Linked DNA regions of Oreochromis niloticus. The protein of the gene in region 1 purifies or fractionates together with the protein of each later gene. This does not show direct contact. Links are inferred from orthologs where the notes say so. Each region holds a gene or a part of one and is shown in the gene's direction. Other genes may lie near its edges.

Region 1 (7,478 bases):
GTTCTCCAGAGGCCTGGTAACGAACTAATCATGTGATTCAGGTGTGTTGACCCAGGGTGAGATCTAAAACCTGCAGGGACACCGGCCCTCCTGGACTGAGATTGCCCACCCCTGTTCTAGCATGAAGTTGGTGTTTTTTTTAAAGACTCAGTTGATGAGCACACAGCTCGCTTACTTTCATCTTTCATTCTTTTTTTCAAGCAGTTTTGGTTTAACCTCCATAAAGTCTCTAGAGTCTGTGTTTCTTTTGTAAAGCCTCAACTTTAAACTGAGCAAATGCTGCAGACGCAACACTTTCCGTGTGTCTGACAGAGTGATGAAGTTGTGGAGCAGAGCTCTGCGACGCACACGGCAGCTGGACCTATTTTCTTTGTGACCCTTTGTCATTGATTACAACACAATGTAATTTTACAAAAGCCTGCAAACGCTGGAATTGCATATACACTCAGCAGCCACTTTATTAGGCACACCTGTTCAACTGCTTGTTATTGGAGATGTTTTGCGAGCCAATCACACATCAGCAACTCCGCAAATTTAAGCATGTAGACGTGGTCAAAACGACCTCCTGAAGTTCAAACTGAGCGTCAGAATGAGGAAGTAAAGTGATTTCAGTGACTTTAGCCGCGGCATGGTTGTTGGTCCCAGCCGGGCTGGTTTGAATATTTTACAAACTGCTGATGTGCTGGGATTTTTCCTCACACAACCATCAATGTTCTAAAAAGAGAATATATCCAGTGAGCAGCAGCTCTCTGGCTCTGCAACAGTAACTCAGCTAACCACTCGTAACAACCAGGCTATGCAGAAGAGCATCTCTGAATAACACATTGAACTTTAAAGCAGATGGGCTACAACAGCAGAAGACCACACTGGGTGCTGCGAGGGTGTAATGATATGGGGGATATTTTCCTGGCACACTTCAGGCTCCTTAGTATCAACTAAATTTCTCTACAACCACAAAGACAGTACAACACCTGACCTTCTTTTTACTTCTCTGTAACAAAGCGAGCATCACATCTGTAGAGCTGTCTCAGCATGAACAACCTACATCCAACCTTATGGTGCAGCTCATAAACTTGATCCCTGTGTACTTAGTGCAGCTCTGCACATCACCCTTGTTCTTGAAAATTGCACCAGTACATGTCCTAAAATCCATTAAAGTCTCAATTTTGTAATTACTTGATTCTTAAGTTTTTATATTAAATACATGTTAGTGAAACAAGCATTTAATATGTACTTTTTCTCCATTTCTGTTCTACATGATTTGTTAAGTTTGCTCCATTTTAACCCAGACTGGAACTTCAGCCTTGACTGCCACCTAGCGTCCATCATAAACAGCTGCAGGTTTTTTGGATCAGGAGGGTTTTTTGTGATGCAGCAGTCCTGCACCAAGGTCACAGGCACAGCACAGCTCTGCAGACTGTCACTATAGTGATTTCATTTTAAAAGCCATGCGTACCAACCATTTACCATTTCTTACCAACTTCTTCCTGCATAAATAGATTATCTGGAAAATAAATAGTCCACTTAGTTTTGTCTGACAAAAGCAATATTCCAGCCCAAGTACAACAAAAAAGGAGATCTGGACACTTCGTAAAATCAGTATGACTTTTATTAAATTAAAAACAATCTGTTGAATATTGATGAAATCTAAAATGAAGGAAAATAAAATTCACTCAGATTAATGTACCAGTACTGTCTAGTCTGCCTTAGTGTTCACAGTCTCATTATAATAGCGCTCTAATATCGCCCATCCCAGTGTTCACCTCATTTCCTGTGACTTAAAAACCATTTTGCTCACATACAGAGTGTACAGAGCATTTATGCTTCCTGGAAATAATACAGCAAATAGAGTCCACTGATTAATCTCATTTCAGTTGACAAAGTTTTCAGTTGCTGACGTGTGTTTGGAACGAAACAGCAACCAAAGCAGGCTTTGTTATTCCCTTCATACAAAAGATATACAAAGAGTAATATCCCAGTTCAGTTCAGAAGGGATCAAAGGGGTACATGTCTCAGTATCTTAAGACTCCAAAGCGTTTACATACTGTATATACAAACAAGTCTGCTTGGAAATAATAAAAACAAAAACTGAGGGGTTGGCACAGTCAGCGTTGAATATGGTGGCAACCACGTTATGGACAGAGATGCATGTTCAGACAGCATTATTAGTTTATTTACAAAAAAATAAAGAAAAGTTAAATAGGAGAAAGATGAATTCTGACACGTTCTCCCTCCTGTCTAACAAAAACAAATCTTATCTGACAATGACCGTGTTACAGACAGGAAAAGGCCAGTCTCAGTGCAAATGCTCCAGCTTGCGTAACCGTATGGGGTTGGGCAGAGCTTGTTGGTTGCGTACAGAAGAGGGCTCCTCCTCTGCTGTGCGGAATAGCACCCGACCCCTGTGATTGAAAAGGTAGAAGGATGGGTGGTTCCTCAGAGTGTCAAAAGTCCTGGGGAAAGAAAAAAAAAGAAACACTTCTTAAACACTGGCACCAAGAGGCAGGAAGTTATGGAGATTGATTACATTTGTTAAATTATATAATCCACTCCTGTAGGAGAGAAGGGACAGAGAAGTGTGTTTACATCCCAATGGTCCCTGATACAGAGTTAGAATAAAGAAACAAACCAATGTTAACACCCACTGGAATCATCAGTGTTGCAGTGTGACAACCCAGTGTCCAGCCATCAGATGAGACATTGAAAGTTTCAGGGGAGAATTGCATCAACTGTGTAACATTCAAGCTGTGATTTCTCATGTGGGATGCTTTGCTTGCCGATTTGTATCTACAGGGTTCACTTATTAAATCTAGAAGTGGTTACACTCCCACTGTAAAAACTTTGCCTATATTTTGGGTTTAGCACTCAAACTAACCAGTTAGCAGATCACAACATGAACAAGTCACTTATGTTTGGCTTGCTTACTGTCTTACGTCTTTAAACATCTCAACAACTGCTTAGTTTATACAATTTTGCTGCTGCATTCGCCTCCAAATCACTTTATTCATTCTTTTATCTGATCTGATAAAACCTCACTGATGGATTAAAGGTGATCAAGCAAGGATGGGAAACATGAGGCCCAGGTACCAGATTCAGCCTGGCAAGGATTCCAACCGGGCCCACTCCATGCCTTTGAAAAATGTAAACAGCCAAAGTAGCCAATGTTCATAACACTGAACAACACTCAGTGAAGCTCCAGCCAAAACACCATCTTGTCACCTGCAGCTGTAGTTATAATAATGTCACACTGTGACCCAAACCTCTTTTGTCAACCCAGCAACCTTCCATTTACTTTCATGATATAAGGCCGTATTCTTTGGCTTTGCTTTGAATACGTTTTCAGTCTTAGGAGGGTTTCAACACACTGGCTGTGTGATGTAAAGCTGCACCTGTGGGATTCGAGGTGAACAGCTTCACAGTAATGTTACTATAAATGTCGCTGAGATGGTGAGCCATGAGCTTCCCCTGTGACAGAGGACAAAAAACAACTGCACTGCCGAGGGAGTGGAGGTGTGCAGGGTGAAGTCAGCTTACTTGTTTTTCAGCTCTGAGGAAGCATCCATGTCTTTGAACTCTCCAGCGATGTGGACAATACCGTAACAGGTCATGATAAATGACAACAAAGTCTGCAGTACAATCTGGAAACACAAAGAAGGAAAACGCTGGGTAAAACAAAAAGACAAAAAAGAAAAGTCTTTGAAATCAGGAGGAAGGCTGAAAGTAAGGATAAAAGTTACTCACATCAATTGGTAGCGTCTCGTGCTCCTTCTCTGTAAGTCGCATGTATGATCGATCTGATGGGAGAAACATGATTGAGCTAATGCAGTTAAAATGAACACCTCGCACAAACGGTGCTAATTAGAGAACTCTAAAAAGGGCTCCAAAAGAAATCCTCTTTAAATGCCATTACTCTAAATGGCTGTCTACCACTAGCACTGACCCTTTCGGGCTGCACTGCAAGGAAAAGATTTCAATCGCTACCACTGCGCCCCATTCAAAGCGGAGCAGAGCCCACCTAGCATGATGTTAGCTAGCCAAAAGGCCCGAGCTGCTGTTTTGTCGAGCTACCCGGTGATACCGGAGACAGTCTGCGATAAATACAGCTACAGAGACGTGTCTTTCGCTCTGTGCAATGAAACTCACGTTGTGCCGCTGAGAAAGCCGCATGAGCTAAGGAGAAAAGTCCGATGCCGACAACACCTTTCCAAAACGACGAAGCCATCTTGAACCGAAGCGAAGAGGAACTGCGCGTACGGTGTCGTAAAACGGTGTCGTAAACAGCCGCAACCATGGCGGTGTAAAAAAAACACCCTATTAATAAGTGGGAAATTAAATATTAAGGGAAACACATATTAATAAGTTATATATAAATATACATGAATATACACAGACTGAATGGTTTCATTTGACTACTTTATTTGCCGCTAATACACGGCCCGTCCCCATTTGTGCTCTTACTTTGAAGGGATGAGCTAATATCCGCTCTAGCCTCTGCCCTTTCCGGTTAGCTCGCATAGAGCTTTCATATGCTATATCATCCATAACTTATTATATCTCTTTGAAACATTTACTCACTCGACAGTACTGTTTAAAATAAATACAAACATGGCAGAAGCCATTCAAAAGAAGCTGAAGGTGGAAGTGGAGAAATACGCCCAGATGCAGAAAGGTGGGTGCTAGTTAGCCCTGCGTGGTTTCTCCTAGTGTGACATGATGCATTGAGCTAACTGACCATATTAGGAAAGCTCGATATACATTAAAGTGTGTCGTTATAACTGCCGCATGCATTTGAATTATAGTCGCAACAATACTTTCGCTGTAATTAAAATGCAACCAGTTCCTCCCCTGATTAACTAACTGTGTGTTGTTCAGAGGTTAGCAAGAGCATGTCAGCCAGACAGAAGCTCGAGACGCAGCTGACAGAGAACAACATTGTTAAAGAGGTAACTATGATCGCTTATTTGCTATTTTATTCACTGATAGCACTATTGGTAGACCATTTGTTTCTATCTATGTTGCGGTATGTGTTGTTCTGTAGTAAACACGAGATCTCATTTTGTCTTTCCAGGAGCTTGATCTGCTGGACAGCTCAAACACCGTTTATAAGCTCATTGGTCCTGTATTAGTGAAGCAGGACCTAGATGAGGCCAAAGCCACAGTAGCCAAAAGGCTGGAGTACATCAACGGAGAAATGTAAGCCATTTCACCCACACCAATGTGTGAAGAGACCTTCACAGTGCTATGGGAATACATCAGGTTTTGGTCATTGGGGATCAATTATGATTCAAAACACCCTCTGTGAGTTTACTAAGTGTAGGTGTTGTGATGATGGGGGAGAGGTGGAGCGGGCGCACACACCGTCTATATCGGGGGTGGGCAATGATTTTTGAGAACATGAGAAGCTGGGACTGTTTTGGATGGCTGCCCCAACAAGCTTATAAAGAAGTAAAAATTAATATTGAATTAATATTTAGCACATCTGAGTTCAGCTTATTGGTGCAATCTTCCACAACAGTCCCGGGTTCTTGGGAAAATTAATTGGCCTCCAAGAGTTACTTCAGAGAGTTAAATTTAAACAAACAAACAAACAAAAACTACCGTCAAGTCCAAGAGCTCAGATTCACTGGTGATTGCACACAAGTATAAAGACAAGCAGCGCCATCACCCACTGCATCAGTAATTTAAGGTGTTATTGTAAAGGCTGCTTTGTGTCTTGGACACGTGAATGACTTCCTGAAATCACCTGTCATGTCGTTTAGTCATATTAAGCTCAAGGAATAACTGATAAGAGTCCAAGTTCGTTTCTTTTCCGGTAAGATAAGATAAGATAACCTTTATTAGTCCCACACGTGGGAAATTTGTTTTGTTCAGGATGAGTTCAGGATGTGGTGGGAGTCAGCAAATCTGTTTAGGATGACTATTGCCTCGCTGTAGAGTAAATACAGTGGACTCAGAGGTTCCTTTTGTGACAATATTCTGGCCCCACTGTGGCCTGAACCTGCAACAGAAGACTCTTATGAAGCATTTTAACTTTAACTCCAGGCTATACTTACAGAGCTAATTAAACCAGCTCATCACCTGGGAAAACATTTGTCTGTTTCAGTTCAACTTCCAACATTACTTCTTTCCTCTTTTTGCTCTTCTTGTCCTTGTCGACATACCCGGGACAGTGTTTGAAAAAGTATTTTATTACTTCATGTTTTGTTTTGTTTTTTTCATTGTTTGCAATCTGTCCAGGAGAACAGATCCATCTACAACTGATTTAGCAGCAAACTGTGACCTTGCTATTGTTGTGTAGCCCCAGGTCTTCCCGCCTCACATTTCTCCACTGGTGGGCACACCAGGCCATTTTTGTAGCCGTCCTCAATATCACCCAGCTGCCTCTAAAGAAAGTCTCATGTTATGGTCAAATTGACTCCATTTCCCCTGTTGTGGACTGAAGTCCTTGTCCAGTCTGCACCTTAAGACAGTGAAACAGGAGCCTTTTCACTGGACTCACTGGAGAGGCAGCTGATTATTGCTCCAATATGTATTGTTCCAAAGTGTGTGTCTATAGCAACTGCCCTTTTTATAGCCACATGTCTAATACTGTGTTAAACACTACAGTTCACACGTGAACGTAGTTTTGGGACAACTGGAACCTCATAAAATCAGAAACAATGCCCGCCCATTAAAAATAAACTGTGCAGGCAGCTTACAGATGGCTCCATTGTAGATATGAGAACAGACTTTAGCTGTGTCACTGTGCTCCCTCATAGGTAGAGGGCAGTCACGAGCTTGATCTGTGTCAGTCTTTTCTCCTCACTGAGATTACATAATAGCAGGAGAAGATTTAAAAAGACAAGAGTCCTTTAGGCAAAAGTACTAAACTAACTTCTTGATTCAGCTTTATTGCCACTTTGTACTTTTTAAATGGGTTAAAGTTTTTGTACAATTATAGATAAAAATAAAATAGAATTCAACTTTATTGTCGTGTCACAAGTACAAGGCGACAAAATGCAAAAATGCAAAAATGTGGGTGTGTGGGCTTGTAATACTTAATTTAAGGTAGTGTTCTTTTTGTGTTTGAATGGTTTGAGATATTAAATGTTAAAGTATTATAACCCTGAATAATTACAGATGTTCAGTGTACAAGAATGGGAATTAAATATTCCTCATTTGTGTGTGTTTAAAACTCAGTGGTTTCCTTTTTTGTCCTTTTGCAGTCAGAGGTATGAGACGCTACTGAAAGACATGGAAAAGAAATCCGAACAGCATCGAGAAGTGTTGTCAAGTTTACAACAGGAGTTTCAGAAAGCCCAGGGCCTCGCTGTGGGCAAAGTCTGATGGAGTGATGTAGCTGCACGCACGCTTACACAAAGTAGTTAATATCATGTAAACCTGCGACACTCTGCTTGTTTCTTGGCATTTCTTTGCAGTGTTATTACTGTGACTTTTCTCTTGATACGAATAAACATTTTTTTTTTTCATGAACCATC
Region 2 (7,352 bases), on another chromosome or scaffold:
TGGGTATAAATTAATACTTTAGCAGCAAAGGGCATGATGACCAGCACTGATAAAGTGACAGTGTCAATAAGTGTTAAGTAGTGGTTAAGGTGCTACAATAACAGTTCTTGTCCATTATGCATTAAGAAGTCTCACAGCTTCTGGAATGAAGCTGTTTCTCAGTCTGGTGGTTTTGCATTTTTGCTCCTCAGCCTCCTGCCTGAGGGGCGTGGGACAAAGAGTGGGTATGCTGGGTGAGTGGGGTCCTTCATGATACAGGTGGCCCTCTTCCTGCATCCGGAGGTGTATATGTCTGTGACAGTTGGGAGGCTGCCTCCGACAACTCTCTGTGCAGCCTTCACCACCCTCTGTAGAGCTTTCCTCTCTGCCACAATGCAGTTTCCGTGCTTCCGAGGCGGCCTCCTCTGCTCCTTCACCTCCATGTTCATCAAGTCTGCTCCATACTGCTCCATACACCGCTCTCTCCCACTTCATCCAGCTTACACCACAGTTCCTGTCTCTCCTCTGACCTTTGACCCGTGGGGGTCTGACTCTGACTCATGATGCTGTCTCACGCCCAGTTTGAGTCCTCCTGGCCTCGCTTCCTTTCCTCCTGCTCTCTCACCTCCTCCTCCTTCTCCTCATTAGCAGCTCTCTCTCTTTAAAATCACACCTCCTACATTTAAGGCTCCTCTCTCACCTCCTGTTCCGTGGCTTCAGTGTCAAGTAGCAGTAGAGGGATTTCAGACGATGATAAAATGGATATATATTGGACAAAAGTTGGAAAGAGTAGGAAGGTAGGGCTGAGGAAGGACAAGTTGAAATTCACTCTAACAGGGAAGCGGGTACTTGAAGAGGAAGATGTGAGACGAGCAGGGGCGGATCTAGAAGGGTGGCATGGGGTGGCAAGTGCCACCCTAAAATGATCCCTTGCCACCCCAAGTGCCACCCCAGTTTTGCATATGACAGTGTTGTTTATTAAAATAAGATAGCATTAACAGTTTGAGCGTAGTTACAGTCAACAGTGAATGTAAATGCTAAAACTGAATATACTGCATAGTGTCCCCCCCCTCCACCATTAACAAATGGTTCAGCCCATAGCAGGAGCGGCGTTTTTCTTGTTGTCAGCAGCAAGCGATGCTTATGATTGTGCCAGAGCACATTTTGAACAACACCATGGGAATTTCGGATTTTACACAGGTGGTTGGATGTTACACTCTGGAAATGGAAGGAAGGTGAGTGTTATTAACCCTCTGTGGTCCACGGACACGCTGCACCTCCAAATCACATGACTGATGTAAGCTGACACAGCAACAAGCTGCAGCCACGCTGAGTCTCTATTTCAACCCACATTGAAAGTTCGGACTTCAAAGTTTTAAAATTTTAATTACAGGCCAGTAAATCCAGAGTTATGATAATATATATAAGCCACGCTTTTTTCTAAATACTGTCGTCACGTTTTTGTGTGTGTGTGTTTTAAGCGTTTTCTAAGGAAAGCGCGAAAACAGTAAAGAAAGGAAAGAAAGCCACCTCTTTCCTATCGGTGGAAAAATGCACCATGTCGACCAATTTAAAAAAAGTCAACACGTGGGATTTGGTTGTTTAGGAAGAGGGGAGAGTTTTGGGAGTGACGGTAACGGCAGCGAGACAGAGCGAGCGAGTGAGAGAGAGAGAGCGAGAGAGTTTTTAGATGTGGGAGATTTGTGATGTTTAGTGTGGAGTGTATAGTTAGTGTGTTGTGTTGTCTTGTGTAGTTGTTCTGTTGTGTAGTCGTTGTTTTGTTTTGTGTGTCAGTGAGGGCACTAATGAAGGTCACAAAGGCACATTTGCAACGTAAACACTGTCACTAAGTAGAAAACCAGCGGAGTGATACACCTGCTGTTGTCAGGTCTGCAGGTTTATCCCTGTGCTGTTCTCCTCTGTCTTTTGGTGGAAAAACTTTCTTTTACTGGCACACATCATTTGTGGGGAATCTTATTGCGAAACCTGATTGTTCTTGAGGCTTGAGCACCTGCCCCTTTCCTGATGGGTGCCCAAAGTGCCCTTTTGTTGAGGCAATTTTTTTTTTAATTTTTAATTTATTTTTTTTTAAATGTGTGTGTGCGTGCAGAGTCCTGTCTGTGCCCCTCAACAATAATATTTAACTATTAATCACAGTTTTGCTAAATAAAAGGATCTGGCTTGCATCAGTCACATGATCACCATTAACCAATGATCGCCCTTGACGGCAGAACGCGCTGGAACGAGCTCATAAAGAGCACGCGCATTTTTGCGGTCCGGAGCTGTAGGAGAAACACAAATTACCTCAGACACACAGACTGAGGCGACAAAACCAGTAAGTAGGTGAACAGCGCACACTGTAGTCTACAGCACACAGGAGTGTTAGCTTATTACGTACACGTTGGTAAGCTGTCTTGGGACAACTGACGAACTGAAACAAATGAGCGTGCTGTGTGTGCAACAGCGCGACAAACATTACCTGTCCTTTTATTAACTGCACAAGTAGTGCTGGTCATAGCTGCTGGCTCACTGGGTAAGGCTGTCATGGGTCTGTAGCTCTGTCACCGTGTTAGGGAACATATTTAGTTTTAAAGTAAGTTACAGGGCTTTTCCTGCCTTTCTGGAGGGATTATATTTCACTTAAAACGATCTAATATGCATGTCCACATAATAATGGATTATTATAATTATAATATTTTAAAAAACACGCTGTATTTTAAAGAACATACATTAAGAAACAGATTATATTAGATTTATATTTTAAATAAGACAAAATGCTGATTTTACAGCAGCAAAATTATTGTATCTCTACAGTTTAAAAATGTAATAAGCTTTCTGCCTGCACAGAGTGGAAAGTGAAACAAATTGAATCATCATAAATACATTATTTCATATGTATTACTCTTTTTCCCTCATTGCTTTATTATTGTAGCTCTAGTAATAAATAATAAAGGAAGGATTCTGGATCAACACCATGATGGAAACTTGTGCCCACAGTATATACAGTATTCTGAAGAAGGTCTAAAATGTCACTGTGTGTGCATGCATGTGTGTGTTTTATGTATATGGATTTTTGAATTATTACTCATAATATAACATTGTCCAGACATGGCTGGTAAGGACATGAGGAGGAAACAGTAGGAGCTGTGTGAGGCCACTAAAGGCAGTGGATCCCTCAGCAGCTGGATTACAAAGAGCACAGGTAACATTAACACATGTACCAGTTGTTGGAGAGGTATCCCAGTATAAAAATAATAATAAGCACAACTGAAATGTTTTGCTTCTATAACATTTTTCTGTCATCATTTTATTATAGATTAAGTGTAAGAGTTGTTAAGTGTGGATAATTAAATAATAGTTTATTGCAATAGCAAGTTATGCCTTGTTCTCAGATGGACAGCAAATGGAGAGTGATAGATGAGATGAGGGGATGGAAGGAGGGAGAGAGGCAAAGAGTGATTCACAGGCAGGGTCTAGTTTATTTCTCAGTTTTTTGTTGCCTTATGGTTCCAAGCGCTGTCACCAATCTTTGCATTTTGTTATTATCTCATGACACTTGTTTAATCAGCTACCATCTCTCCTATGGACTTTTTAATGTCTACAGTCTCAGATCAACACAGCCCTGCCCTCCAGCACTATCAGCAGCAGGAGCAGCAGCAACCCCTCAACAGCAACATTGTACCCATCAGGTAAAACATAGGCTACGTTTGCTTTGCCTCACAACAGTGATATAGTATGATGCGATCCCATATTAGATTCTTGATGAATGTGTGTTGTTGTTATTCAGCCTGGTTCAATGTGCCCCTTTTTAGCTTTGAGCACCCGCCCCTATAAACGTCTCTGCACGGCCCTGACACAGTGACTCCACTATATAAACACTTCATTGTGAGTATGCATCGTATATATGAGTATATATGATTACACACAGTTTATGAAAGTAACTATGATTACATGTCTAGTGTATATAAGTATATATGTCATAATAAAATCCACAATAGTTTGGAAAAGGTGCAGCGAGAAGAAGTCATGTAGATATGAATATAAAATAGAGTAAAGGTGTCAGCCACAGTGGGACAGAGAGGGTAGTTTTATTATAGTACACAGGGCAGAGGGACACTGTGGGAGAAGGTCTAGAAGAAGGTGTAATGTGAAGAGTAAGATTTGGTCACACAGTTTAAATAACAGTGTCAAACAGACGAATAAGCACGAGACAGGAAGTGTGAATGTCGTGCAGGAGGCATCTGAAAAGTGTAAATAAAGGCGGGAAACATGGAAAATACACATCACAGAGGAGGACACGTGATGGAGTTCACAGGGCGGACACTCCAGTCCAGCAGGTGGCGGTAATGCACCTGACGCTGTTTGCTACCGCCATAAAAAGATAGAAGAAAAAGGCGGCTCTCGCGCGTGCGCAGTGTGTCCTCAGAGTCGGGAGCAGAAAGAAGATGGCGGCGCCCGTAGATCTGGAGCTGAAAAAGGTAGGAGCTCCTCACCTGTGTGTGTGGCACGTGCTTTGTGCCTGTGACTAACGCGGCTGTTTCACACGTGGTCGAGTGTTTTTTCCACAGTCTCCGGTTTAAACTGCCCACGACCTCCGTCTGTGTCTGTGCCGGCGGGACACCGACACCGTCACGCTCGTGACTTTAACACACCTGCGCCCAGGCCTTGTGTCGTCACCGTGACGTAGTTAGAGCCCCTAACGTCAAAGTGACGCAGCGGAATCGTTTGCGAGTGGGTTGTGGGTGTAAGGTGTGATATCATGAAGTAGAGCTAAAAATGATACGGTTTCGGGGGGGGGGGCGGGTAGTTCAGAGTGGGCAGGCTCTGTTACCATGGTGACTAACCGTCAGGTGCGCTCCGCAGGCTTTCTCCGAGCTGCAGGTGAAGATGATCGACACGCAGCAGAAAGTCAAGATGGCCGATCTGCAGATAGATCAGCTGACACGCGTTCAGAAGCACGCCAAGCTGACGCACGCGGAGATAGCCACGCTGCCCGACAACACGCGGCTCTACGAGGGTGTGGGACGCATGTGAGTCACCTACTTTTAACCTTAACAGACCTGAACGTCACGCAGGTGTCAGCCAATCACATCGGTTCAATCATGATGTGTTTCAGGTTCATCCTGCAGTCCAAGGAGGAGATCAACAACCTGCTGACAGACAAACAGAAGACTGCTGACGAGAAGATCAAAGAGCTGGAGGTGCACGCGCACATGCCTCTTCTCATTGGCTAACTGCTGATTGACATCACGCGTGTGGGCATGTTCTGCATGGGGTTAGAGAAACCTTCTGGAGGAAACCTGAACTGTGTCCAAATTCATGGGCTGCATCCTCCTGAGGACCCAGCCTTCGTGGTCTACGTGGGCCGGGTCCTCAGAAGGTCGGGTAGGCCGGAAGTAAACAGCTGTGAAACTGGACGGTCTAGCTTTCAGATTTGTGTCACCGCTGTGTGGGTGGAGTTTAATAAACTCGGCCGTCTGCTCCTTGCAATCTAAAATATAACAGGACGCTGGCGTAAATTCTCGACCATCTCACACTTCTGTTTAATCAGTTTTCTGTTTGACGTTTATTCAGCTGTGTAAAAACCACCCGGGGGATTAATAAAGTTTTATTTTATCTAATCTAATAACTTTAATCTCAGCCAAACCGATTTACTCACGAACAAATAAAACACTGAAAAAATGACAAACAATAACATTTTTAGGTTGTCTAAGTGACTTATATATTACGTTTAACCTGAGTAGCGAAAGTCCGCAGTGATCTGAAAATGATGTGCCGGGAGTTGTGCCGTTCTCGGCGGCTTCAGTGACCCTCGAGCTCTCGGCTAGCTATCGAGCTGGTGGGTAACAGATGTCTCCGAAAATGTCAGCGCACTTTTAGAAATATGTGATATCTTGATAAACCAAGCAGATATTCGAAGTTTACACAGCTACATTCTCGCCTGAAAATATGTTAAAAGTTTATTTTGTGACCCAGAAAGATTAATAAGAGTAATATTAAAACTTAGTAGCGGCCGCCATTGTTGGAAACTGGAGTTTGGCTGAGCCGCGCTATGAATTCTGGGATATGGTGGGCCACGAAGGACACACCCGACCCATCCTTCAAATTCGGGGAAAAGGAGGACGCATTTGTCGGCTGCATTCGGAGGAGTCGACGAATTTGGACAGCCTTCGGCGCGTCGCTGTGATGTAATCGGCCTACAAATGCGTCCTCAGGAGGATGCAGCCCATGAATTTGGACACAGCTCTGGTCTTGTTAGGAGAGACGGCATCCATCCCACTTTGGATGGAGTAGCTCTCAAAATGTGACTATTCAGAGTTGGGACCAGGAAGCAGAGTTGCAGTCTTACACGTCTCTCTGCAGCTTCTCTCCTCCTGTTATCTCCCAAAACCCCATCTCCATAGAGACTGTGTCAGCTAGAGTCTTTAAAATATGAAACACGTTGATGTAACTATTGTTGTGCTTTATACAAAAAAATGGTTGAATTATCCTGCAGTCTGATTTCAGGAGGTTGAAACAGTGTTGGTGTGTGACACACACACACAGCTAAGCACTCACAGTATGTTTGTGTTTGTGATTTCCAGCAGAGGAAGGTGTACCTTGAACGCAGCGTGAAGGAAGCTGAGGACAACATCAGAGAGATGCTGCTGTCCCGGAGAGCCCACTGACTATCATCATCATCACACACACTATAATTACACTGTAATACACACACACACACACACACACAGTTTCCTGTGTGAGTTTTTCACAATAAAAGCTTGAAGACACTGCCTGGTGGTGGCTTTTTTCAGTCTGAGATTTACTTTGAATTTGTTGATGATGACGACCCTCTTCTCAGTCTGTGTGATCTGATGAATTAAACCAGCAGACGATCATGTGACTGTATGGAATTACGTTTGCCCAAAGGAGGCGGGGTCATAATGTGATTGGTCACTTTGAATCCTTTAAAACAGAAGGATTCAAAGAGCTGATCTGAGGTCTGTGCCCTGAGGTTGATCAAGAAGCATGCATCAGGGTCCAGCAATTATAACTTACTACAGACATTTAAAGCTGCACGTGTAATTGCACCATGAGTGGATGCAGCGCTAAGAACAGGCCCTATATTTCTCTGGTTTTACGATGTCCTCAGTGTTGAGGTGATAAATCAGCACATAACTGAGCAGCAGCAGAAATAACAGCTGCAGGTAAACGGTGACCTGATTCATTTGGTCAGAGATTCATCCAAATAGGAAAAATCCTCTAAACCCTGAACGTCAGAGGTCAAAGGTCCGATAAGCTGCCGGTGTAACATGAAGCTGAAAGAAACGCACATTTTCCTGGACAGGTGAGTGACATCAGAGCCCCAACGATATGAAACATCCTGAGAGCCG
Region 3 (7,723 bases), on another chromosome or scaffold:
TGCTATCTCACCTTCAGCAACTCTTGAAGGACATGGAGAGGTTGCTTGGATGCTGGAGAACCTTCCTTCTACCCCTTTCATTGGATGCTGAGCTTTCCAAACAGACCCAACACCTTTACCACGCATTATCTGCAAGGGGAGTGCCAGTGGAAGAAGAGATGTTGAAGGTGGGTTTTTTTTTGTTTGTTTTCGTTTCATTTCCATGGATCTTTAACATCAGCTTCTAATTGATTATTCTGACCACTAATGCCTCTGACTTGTCTTAGGTTCTGCTTTCTGCATCTCCTGTGCTATCTGAAGACGACTTGAAACAATTTGCTCTTGGAGTTTCTCCACAGTGGGACACTGAGTGTGATCAGCTTCTTCACACTGCTGTGTCCCAGCTCTTACAGAGGGATGAGCCCCGAAATCATGTGGTTCTAATCCTTGACAAGGTTGGTTTCATAATCTCTGTGAAATACTGAATTCACTTTTATAGCTAATGCAGGCATGTGTGTCACTACGAGTTGAAAAGCATCACTGCAATGTATCACTTGTGAGAAGACAAAGTATTTGCTGCTTATCAGCTTTTGTACTTTTTGCTGCAGTACCTTCAGAAGTTGCCGTGGGAGAGCATTCCCGTCTTAAAGTCTAGCTCTGTAAGTCGGATGCCTTCTCTGCACTCGCTGCTTGGACTGAGCATTCAAAAAGAGGTATGATTAAGCTCTATAACTGTCAGGTAGGACTCATACATGTATGTTAAGGCTTTTAACATTCACACCTCTCATTAACTGCAATGCTAATAAAGACATTCCCATGCCGTCAAGGATTAATGCAAAGTGTCTGTATTGCTAATGAAACAGTTGATTTCAATAGTTGCAATGTTATCGTTATTTCAATCATTCTTTTAGACTGACTCCGAGTCTATTTTGAGGCGTGGTGTGGATGCAAAGAAAGTGTTTTATGTGCTCGATCCTGATGACAATTTAGGGAACTCTCAGGAGCGTTTCAAAGACTGGTTTTGCAGGTGAGACTGAAACATGTCAGTAATTGAGCACAAGTCCATGCATAAATGTTTTTCATCAGTTCAGTTTTCTATTCTCATTAAAGTAAACCGGACTGGGAAGGAGTGTGTGGAATTGCACCTGACTTGGGCCGACTAGAAGAAGCTGTTGCTACAAAAGACGTCTACATGTGAGTTTCAGTTTTATAAGTAAAAATTAACTACAGATTCAAACCCCTTTATTGTTTGAAGATTTTTCTGTATTCAAGATTCACTTTAAAATTCTTTTAAAAAAAGGTCTCCGTTAAAAACACATTAAAACCAATAATGGCAACCTGAATGAACTATATATATCTATATCTATATATATCTATATATATATCTATATCTATATATCTATATATGAGAGAGAGAGAGAGAGAGAGAGAGAATAAAAAATAATAATAATTGTAAAAAATTAACTCTGCAAGCAGACCACTAAGCACTGTGATGGACTCCAAGGCAATACTCTCATCTTGGCAGCATCTTGCTATGGGTGTACCTGTCAGGGTTTAAGGGAAAGAGGTGAGAGTTTATCTATTAGTAAAAATAATTCAGCCACGGTCTTGTTGGAGTAGCTTGAGGACAAGTCTGCCTGTGTCTGAGTGACCCAGCCAAAGAATGAGTCCAAATCCATGTGTGCATAGCTTGTAGAGATGTGTACAAAAATACCCAAAGCTTAATGTCCTACTTGAGGGCCTTCTGGAGATAAGTAAGGGTCAGTGTGCAGAAAGTGAAGGTGTCTGGATGGTGACCCTGAGCTTTAGTGTAGATCGTTCACACTGGGACTGATTTCTTTATCAAGTGGGTGAAACCTCAAAAATAAAACTTTCTCTTTGTCAAACATTTAATATTCATTCTATTTTAAATAATGAGGGCTTGTTTTTCTTAACGTTCAGTTCTGTCATCAGATTTCCATCTTTTTTTACCTTGTATTTCTATTTTTTTTTTCTGTTCGTTTTGTGAGTTTCACTGTTTGTTTGGTTTTTTGTTGTTGTTGTTGTTGTTGTTTGTTTGGGTTTTTTTTGTTTGTTTGGTTTTTTTAAATCTATCTCTCCATGATTTTAGTTATGTGGGCCATGGAGCAGGAGCCCGGTTCCTGGACAGCCAGGCTGTTCTCAAACGGCCGCTGAGGGCAGCGTCTCTGCTGTTTGGCTGCAGCAGCGGAGCCCTGGCTGTCCGGGGACAGCAGGAAGGAAATGGCATTGTGCTAAATTACATCATAGCAGGCTGGTAAGATATCTTTGCATTTTCATCCATGTGCAGCTGAATGAAAACTGGATAACATGACCATATGAAATGCACAGCATTTCCTCTTGATGACTGCAGCAGTTATAATAGCTGATGTAAAACATTTTCATTTTATGCATTTATTTTTAACTTGTGCACTACAAACAAAGCACTTATGATTTACAATCGACCCTAAAAACAAAAATTTAAATAAAGAAAAATAAACATGCATAATAATAAAAAGTAAAAATCTGAAAATGTACTTACTGAAAGTTTTGTTTAAAAGGTCGCAATCCTGCTGCATATAATTTTTGATAACATGGAGTGTGATTTTTTTTTTTTTTTTTTTTTTTTTTTTTTTTTTTTTTTTTTTTCCCCTCTCTCTTTTTTTTAATACTGCTGTTGCAGATTTAATTAGAATCTTTTGAAACAAACTGTTGTTAACAGAAGGAATATTTGGGGATCTTATGTAAAGTATCTAGTTTGTAACATGTCTTATGGTCATCATCCTTTTGATTTTTTGTTTGTTTGTTTTAGCCCATTCATCTTGGGAAATCTCTGGGATGTCACAGATCGGGATATTGATCGCTTCACCAAGGCCTTGTTAGAGTCGTGGTTTTCTGCTGGCTCCGGGGCACCGCTCCTCGACTTCATGGGGTCGTCTCGGCAGGCCACTCACTTGAAATATCTGATAGGCGCTGCGCCCGTGGTATATGGCCTGCCAGTGCACTTAACATAGGGTGCTACTGAGGTTAAATCCTTTTTTTTTTTTTTTAAATGCATTTTGAGTATAACATTATTTTTAAACCATTGTTTTGAATTTTTTGTGTGTCAATACGTTTTAAATAACGGGATTTCTTTTAAATTTTTAAATTCATTATTAATGTATAGAATGAACTCCTTTTTAAAATATAATAAATGTTTTTTTTCACACACAATCTGTTGGTGCCCTGTTAATTATGTAGACGTGAAGCCCAGATCTGTCTCCACAATCATCAGATCACAATCTTTGGGAGTTAGTTGACCAGGAGATTGGTATCATGGATGTGCAGCAGACAAATCTGCAGCAACTCTGTGATTCTTTCATGTTAAAATGGAATAAAATTTCTGAGGAATGTTTCCAGCACCTTGCTGAATTTATGCCACAAAGAATGAAGGCAGTTCTGAAGGAAAAAGAGGGTCCAACCCAGTACCAGCAGCGTTTATTTGATAAAGTGGCCACTGAGTGTACGTTGAACCTGGTGCCTGCGATACCTGACACATTTACATAAAGCTCTCTACCTTAAACCAATACAAAAGAAAAGAATAGTAACAGTATAAAAGTGTTTGACACGAAAAATGTCTTCAGAAAGGAGCCACCCCCCCCAAAGCCCATCCTCTCGTATCACAGCTGAGTGTTTTCTAGTCACTGTTTTGAACTTTGCACCCATGGGTCATGCATGGTGTTATTTCTTTGGAATAAATTATTAGTTTTTAACAGCAGTTGGTGGATGTCTACACTTTCTGGGTGCTCTTGCAGTTTTAGTTTTATTTTGTCACAAGCACAAAAAATAAATTTTATATAGGGCCTATATCCAGCAATATTTTTCTTCTTCCTTTGGCCTGAGCAGACTGAAAGCAGATCATCTGCCTCCATCACACTCTATCCCTGGAATCCTCTTCTGTCACACAAACCCTCTGCATACCATCCTTAACTACATCCATGAATATTTTCTGTCTTTCTCTCCTCCTGCTGCTTGGCAGTTCCATCTTCAAGATCCTTTGTCTGATACATTTACCATCTTCAGTTCATTTTCGACTCTGCCACCTCCAATTCGGACTGCTGTGTTTTAGTCAGTGCAGCTATCTCCAAATTGTACATCATAGCATGTCTCACTACCACCTTGTAAACCTTCCCTTTCACACTCGCTGATATCCTTCTGTCACAAATCACCCCGGACACTTGGCTCCACCCTGCCTGCACACTCTTCTTCACCTCTCTTGCGCACTGTCCATTGCTTCAGATGGTTGACTGCAGGTATTTAAACTTATTCTACTTTCACTACCTCTGCACCTCTCTGCCTCTCTCATTCACACATATGTATTCTTTCTTACTTCTATTGACTTTTATTCCTCTTCTCTCCTGAGTATATCCTCACTTCTTCAGGCTCTTTTCCTTTCTTCCTACTCTCACTACAGATCGGTGCCATCTGCAAACACCATAGTCCACAGAAACTCCTCCCTGACCTCATCTGTCAGTGATCACCATTGTAAACAAGAAGGGGCTCAGTGCAGATCCCTGATGTTATCCCAGCTCAAACTTGAACCCATCTGTCAGCCTCACATACTTCTCTGTGAAGAGGCATAAGGAGCTGGTTCACTTCCTCACTTCTCCGCAGTGGGGCGATGTTTCAGACTAGTGACGGTCCAGCTCCATAACCCGGAAACAGCATCGCTAAAGGTCTCTTAGCATCACGCTTCCAACATGGCGGTGAATCTGACAGACCTCTCCCTGCCTCAATTAGAGGGACTGAAAACCCAGCTAGACCAGGTAGTGTGCCTAGTTTGTCCGTGTGTGTGCGAGGAATGTGTCCTTATAAAGGGCTCTAATCAGAGCTTTAAGCGTGCTGAGAACGGGCCCGGGTATTCAGCCGGCTAGCACCACTGATGCTAACAGTGCAAACCCGTTGTTGTTGATGTTGTCGGCACACCTTAACAAGTCAAGCATAAAACCATTGGTTGGTAACCGTGTGCCACTTGTTTTCTACACGTTGTTGTGTCTTTTTGCAGGAAGTTGAGTTCTTGACGTCTTCGATAGGTCAGCTCAAAGTTGTCCAGACAAAGTATGTTGAGGCAAAAGATAGCTTGAATGTCCTGAACAAAAACAATAAAGGTGAGTAATAATTTTAACTTTTGACAGCCTATTAATTCAGTGCACCTCTGGTAGATTGAAAAACATGTTTATCTCAACACTCAAGAGGCGTGAAACTGACTATATCGGCAATAACTCGTATTATTATATATTAGATGAACCGGTATTCAAATGAAATGCAAGTAGCAGCTACTACCCTGTTTATTTACTTCCCCTTTTAACTTGCCAGTTAACTGATAAATGTTATGTAGTGAAAGTGAGGAGCAGGTGGAAGAGAGCCTAGAGAGGTTTGAAAGTCAGCACAAGTGTGAATGTGAGAGAGACGGATGTAACGGTAAAGAGTAGAGGAGTTTAAATACCACAAATGTCCAGAGTTTCCAAAATGAATGCCATGTTGATGTCAGAGTAGAAAGGTCAGACTGCTTTGAGCTGATGGAAGAACAACAGCAACTCAAATAACCACTCTTAATAACTAAGGTCTAGGACATTCATCGGACGTCCTCTATTAAAAATCAACGACACATCCTGGATTATAGTGTACATGACTATCGCAGTTTCAACAAAACAAAAAAGCAAGAGCAAAACACAGAAGCGCTGAGGCACTGATCTGAGCTCATATGTACAACATCAGTTTTGCTAACACAGCGTCACACTCTAATGATATAACCAGTCATCACATTAAAATGACACTTGTTACATCCTTATTAGTTCTTATGACACCCCGCACGACCATTTCTGGCCAAAAACAGAATTCTGCTTTTTCAGTAATGTTCGCTAGAAATCTGTAGCTTAATTTGATTTATTATTTCCTCTTTCATATAGGAAAAGAACTCCTTGTGCCTCTTACCAGTTCTGTATCCTTTTGTTTGCACTGGACAGTAAGTGTTTTGCTGTGTTGTATGATGTGCTTTAAATTAAGTCATGGTTATCTTGAGCTATGCATGTTTGTCCTTGACATTCCTGTTACTCAGATGTATGTCCCTGGGACATTAAATGATGTGGAACACGTTTTAGTGGATGTGGGGACAGGATACTATGTTGAAAAGGTAAAAAAAAATTGCAATTTGAAAAGCCATGAGTGGATTATAATGAAACAAAATGTTTAAATGTGTTTGAGTCGTGTTGAAATTTCTCCTTTTTGTCTCTGCAGAACGTGGAAGACTCAAAGGCATTCTTTAAGCGCAAAATAGACTTCCTCACAAAGCAGATAGAGAAAATTCAGCCAGCCCTACAGGAAAAGCATGCCATGAAACAAGGTAACTTCCTTATCTCGGTGCACCATCATACCATGTGACATTATACTGGTTCATATTAAGCACTGTATGAGTCAGAATTCTGGCTGGGTTGTAGGGGGATCAAATACTTATTTTACTCAATGACATGCATGTTTCTGGACTTCTTATTTTTATTTTTTTCTTCAATTAAAATGAAATTATCCTAAAAATTAGATGACAGCAATTATGATTATTTTCACAACATTAATGCGGAATCTTTTTGAATACATGGTACTGATGGCTTGAACCTCAGTCTTTAAACTTTACCTTCATTTTGATCTCATCGACAAAGCTTCATGTGTGTATCTTACAGAGTTGTGATACTGTTGTGTTGACAGATTGTGCTAAATAACAACCAAATTACTAATAGTGCCTTTGCAGTTGCAGTTGTTCCCAGTACAGAAGGTGTCTTCATAAACACATTTCATCATCATTGACAAAAACATAGACTTACAAGGTGAAGATGATATCAGCTAAAAATCCATGTCCACTCATGTGATGAACCGCGTTGTCCATTGGATAATAAGTTTGCAATGCGACATAACTCCCCCACATCTTCACTGTGTCTGTGCCAGGCATCATACTCGTCCTCATTCTGTCTGTTTTTTTTTTTTAGTTCGTTTAGCCTTTGGCTTTTTTACAGTACAGTTTTTGTTTTATACACTAAAGAGTAGTGAACTAAATACATAAGTAGCTTTCATCATAGCTAGCTAATATGAATTTTGATGAATTAACCTATAAAGATGACATTTGATGACCTCCCCTGTACCCTCAACCTACTACACTAATGCTGGGTGATTTAACCCATGTGTAAGTTATATAAAACAGCATGTTAGTGTTGTTGGGTTAGTAACGACTTTACACCTTGGCATTTATCAATGAAGATGTGGTTCAACAACCATTAGAATAGTATTCAGGTTTATCCAGGGGTAACTAGGGGCAGAAACCCCCTCACTAACTTTTGATGCAAACACACTCATTTTGTTCTAATAGTCAGGAATTAAATATGACAGAAACCACTCAGAAAAGAGTTTCAAGGGTTATTCCGAGTAAGCTATGAAGGGTAATCGAGCTAAAATACAATAAAAGTCCTTCATCAAATCACCTGTGTGAATAGTTCAAATGTGAAGAAAAGCAATGTTTTCAGCTCCTCCCATCCAACAGGAACAGCATGCTAAATTAAGAAACTGCTCAACTGAAAGTCATTTGTATCCTTATGAACTGCTCAATCTTTAAATTTGGCACATTTCCTGCCCCTCCCTGCTGTCTGTATTGCAATGCAATTCCTGCAATATGCAGGGGTGAGTCTAAGGAGGGGCCAAATGTCACTTTAGTTACTATTTCTTT

Evidence for each region.
Region 2: the proteins of pfdn6 (region 1) and pfdn1 purify together in Homo sapiens (affinity purification with mass spectrometry; 6 studies listed by BioGRID and IntAct, with this or other methods). This does not show direct contact. The link is inferred for Oreochromis niloticus from reciprocal best matches to the Homo sapiens genes PFDN6 and PFDN1.
Region 3: the proteins of pfdn6 (region 1) and pfdn5 purify together in Homo sapiens (affinity purification with mass spectrometry; 5 studies listed by BioGRID and IntAct, with this or other methods). This does not show direct contact. The link is inferred for Oreochromis niloticus from reciprocal best matches to the Homo sapiens genes PFDN6 and PFDN5.

Annotation. Positions count from the first base shown.
Region 1 is NC_031966.2:32,024,219-32,031,696, reverse strand, and holds pfdn6 (prefoldin subunit 6), read left to right. Parts: upstream 1-4,461; 5' UTR 4,462-4,605; coding exon 4,606-4,669; intron 4,670-4,872; coding exon 4,873-4,943; intron 4,944-5,068; coding exon 5,069-5,193; intron 5,194-7,205; coding exon 7,206-7,326; 3' UTR 7,327-7,476; downstream 7,477-7,478. Other genes in the region: mmgt1 (ER membrane protein complex subunit 5), read right to left, coding at 2,297-2,453, 3,535-3,638, 3,742-3,794, 4,144-4,291. UniProt on the Homo sapiens protein: Binds specifically to cytosolic chaperonin (c-CPN) and transfers target proteins to it. Binds to nascent polypeptide chain and promotes folding in an environment in which there are many competing pathways for nonnative proteins.
Region 2 is NC_031975.2:33,670,641-33,677,992, forward strand, and holds pfdn1 (prefoldin subunit 1), read left to right. Parts: upstream 1-4,300; 5' UTR 4,301-4,424; coding exon 4,425-4,457; intron 4,458-4,842; coding exon 4,843-5,009; intron 5,010-5,095; coding exon 5,096-5,180; intron 5,181-6,563; coding exon 6,564-6,647; 3' UTR 6,648-6,752; downstream 6,753-7,352. UniProt on the Homo sapiens protein: Binds specifically to cytosolic chaperonin (c-CPN) and transfers target proteins to it. Binds to nascent polypeptide chain and promotes folding in an environment in which there are many competing pathways for nonnative proteins.
Region 3 is NC_031970.2:23,616,748-23,624,470, forward strand, and holds the start of pfdn5 (prefoldin subunit 5), read left to right. Parts: upstream 1-4,623; 5' UTR 4,624-4,715; coding exon 4,716-4,781; intron 4,782-5,020; coding exon 5,021-5,123; intron 5,124-5,924; coding exon 5,925-5,956; intron 5,957-6,073; coding exon 6,074-6,148; intron 6,149-6,252; coding exon 6,253-6,358; intron 6,359-7,723. Other genes in the region: espl1 (separin), read left to right, coding at 18-167, 267-434, 588-692, 891-1,006, 1,090-1,173, 2,090-2,254, 2,789-2,990. UniProt on the Homo sapiens protein: Binds specifically to cytosolic chaperonin (c-CPN) and transfers target proteins to it. Binds to nascent polypeptide chain and promotes folding in an environment in which there are many competing pathways for nonnative proteins.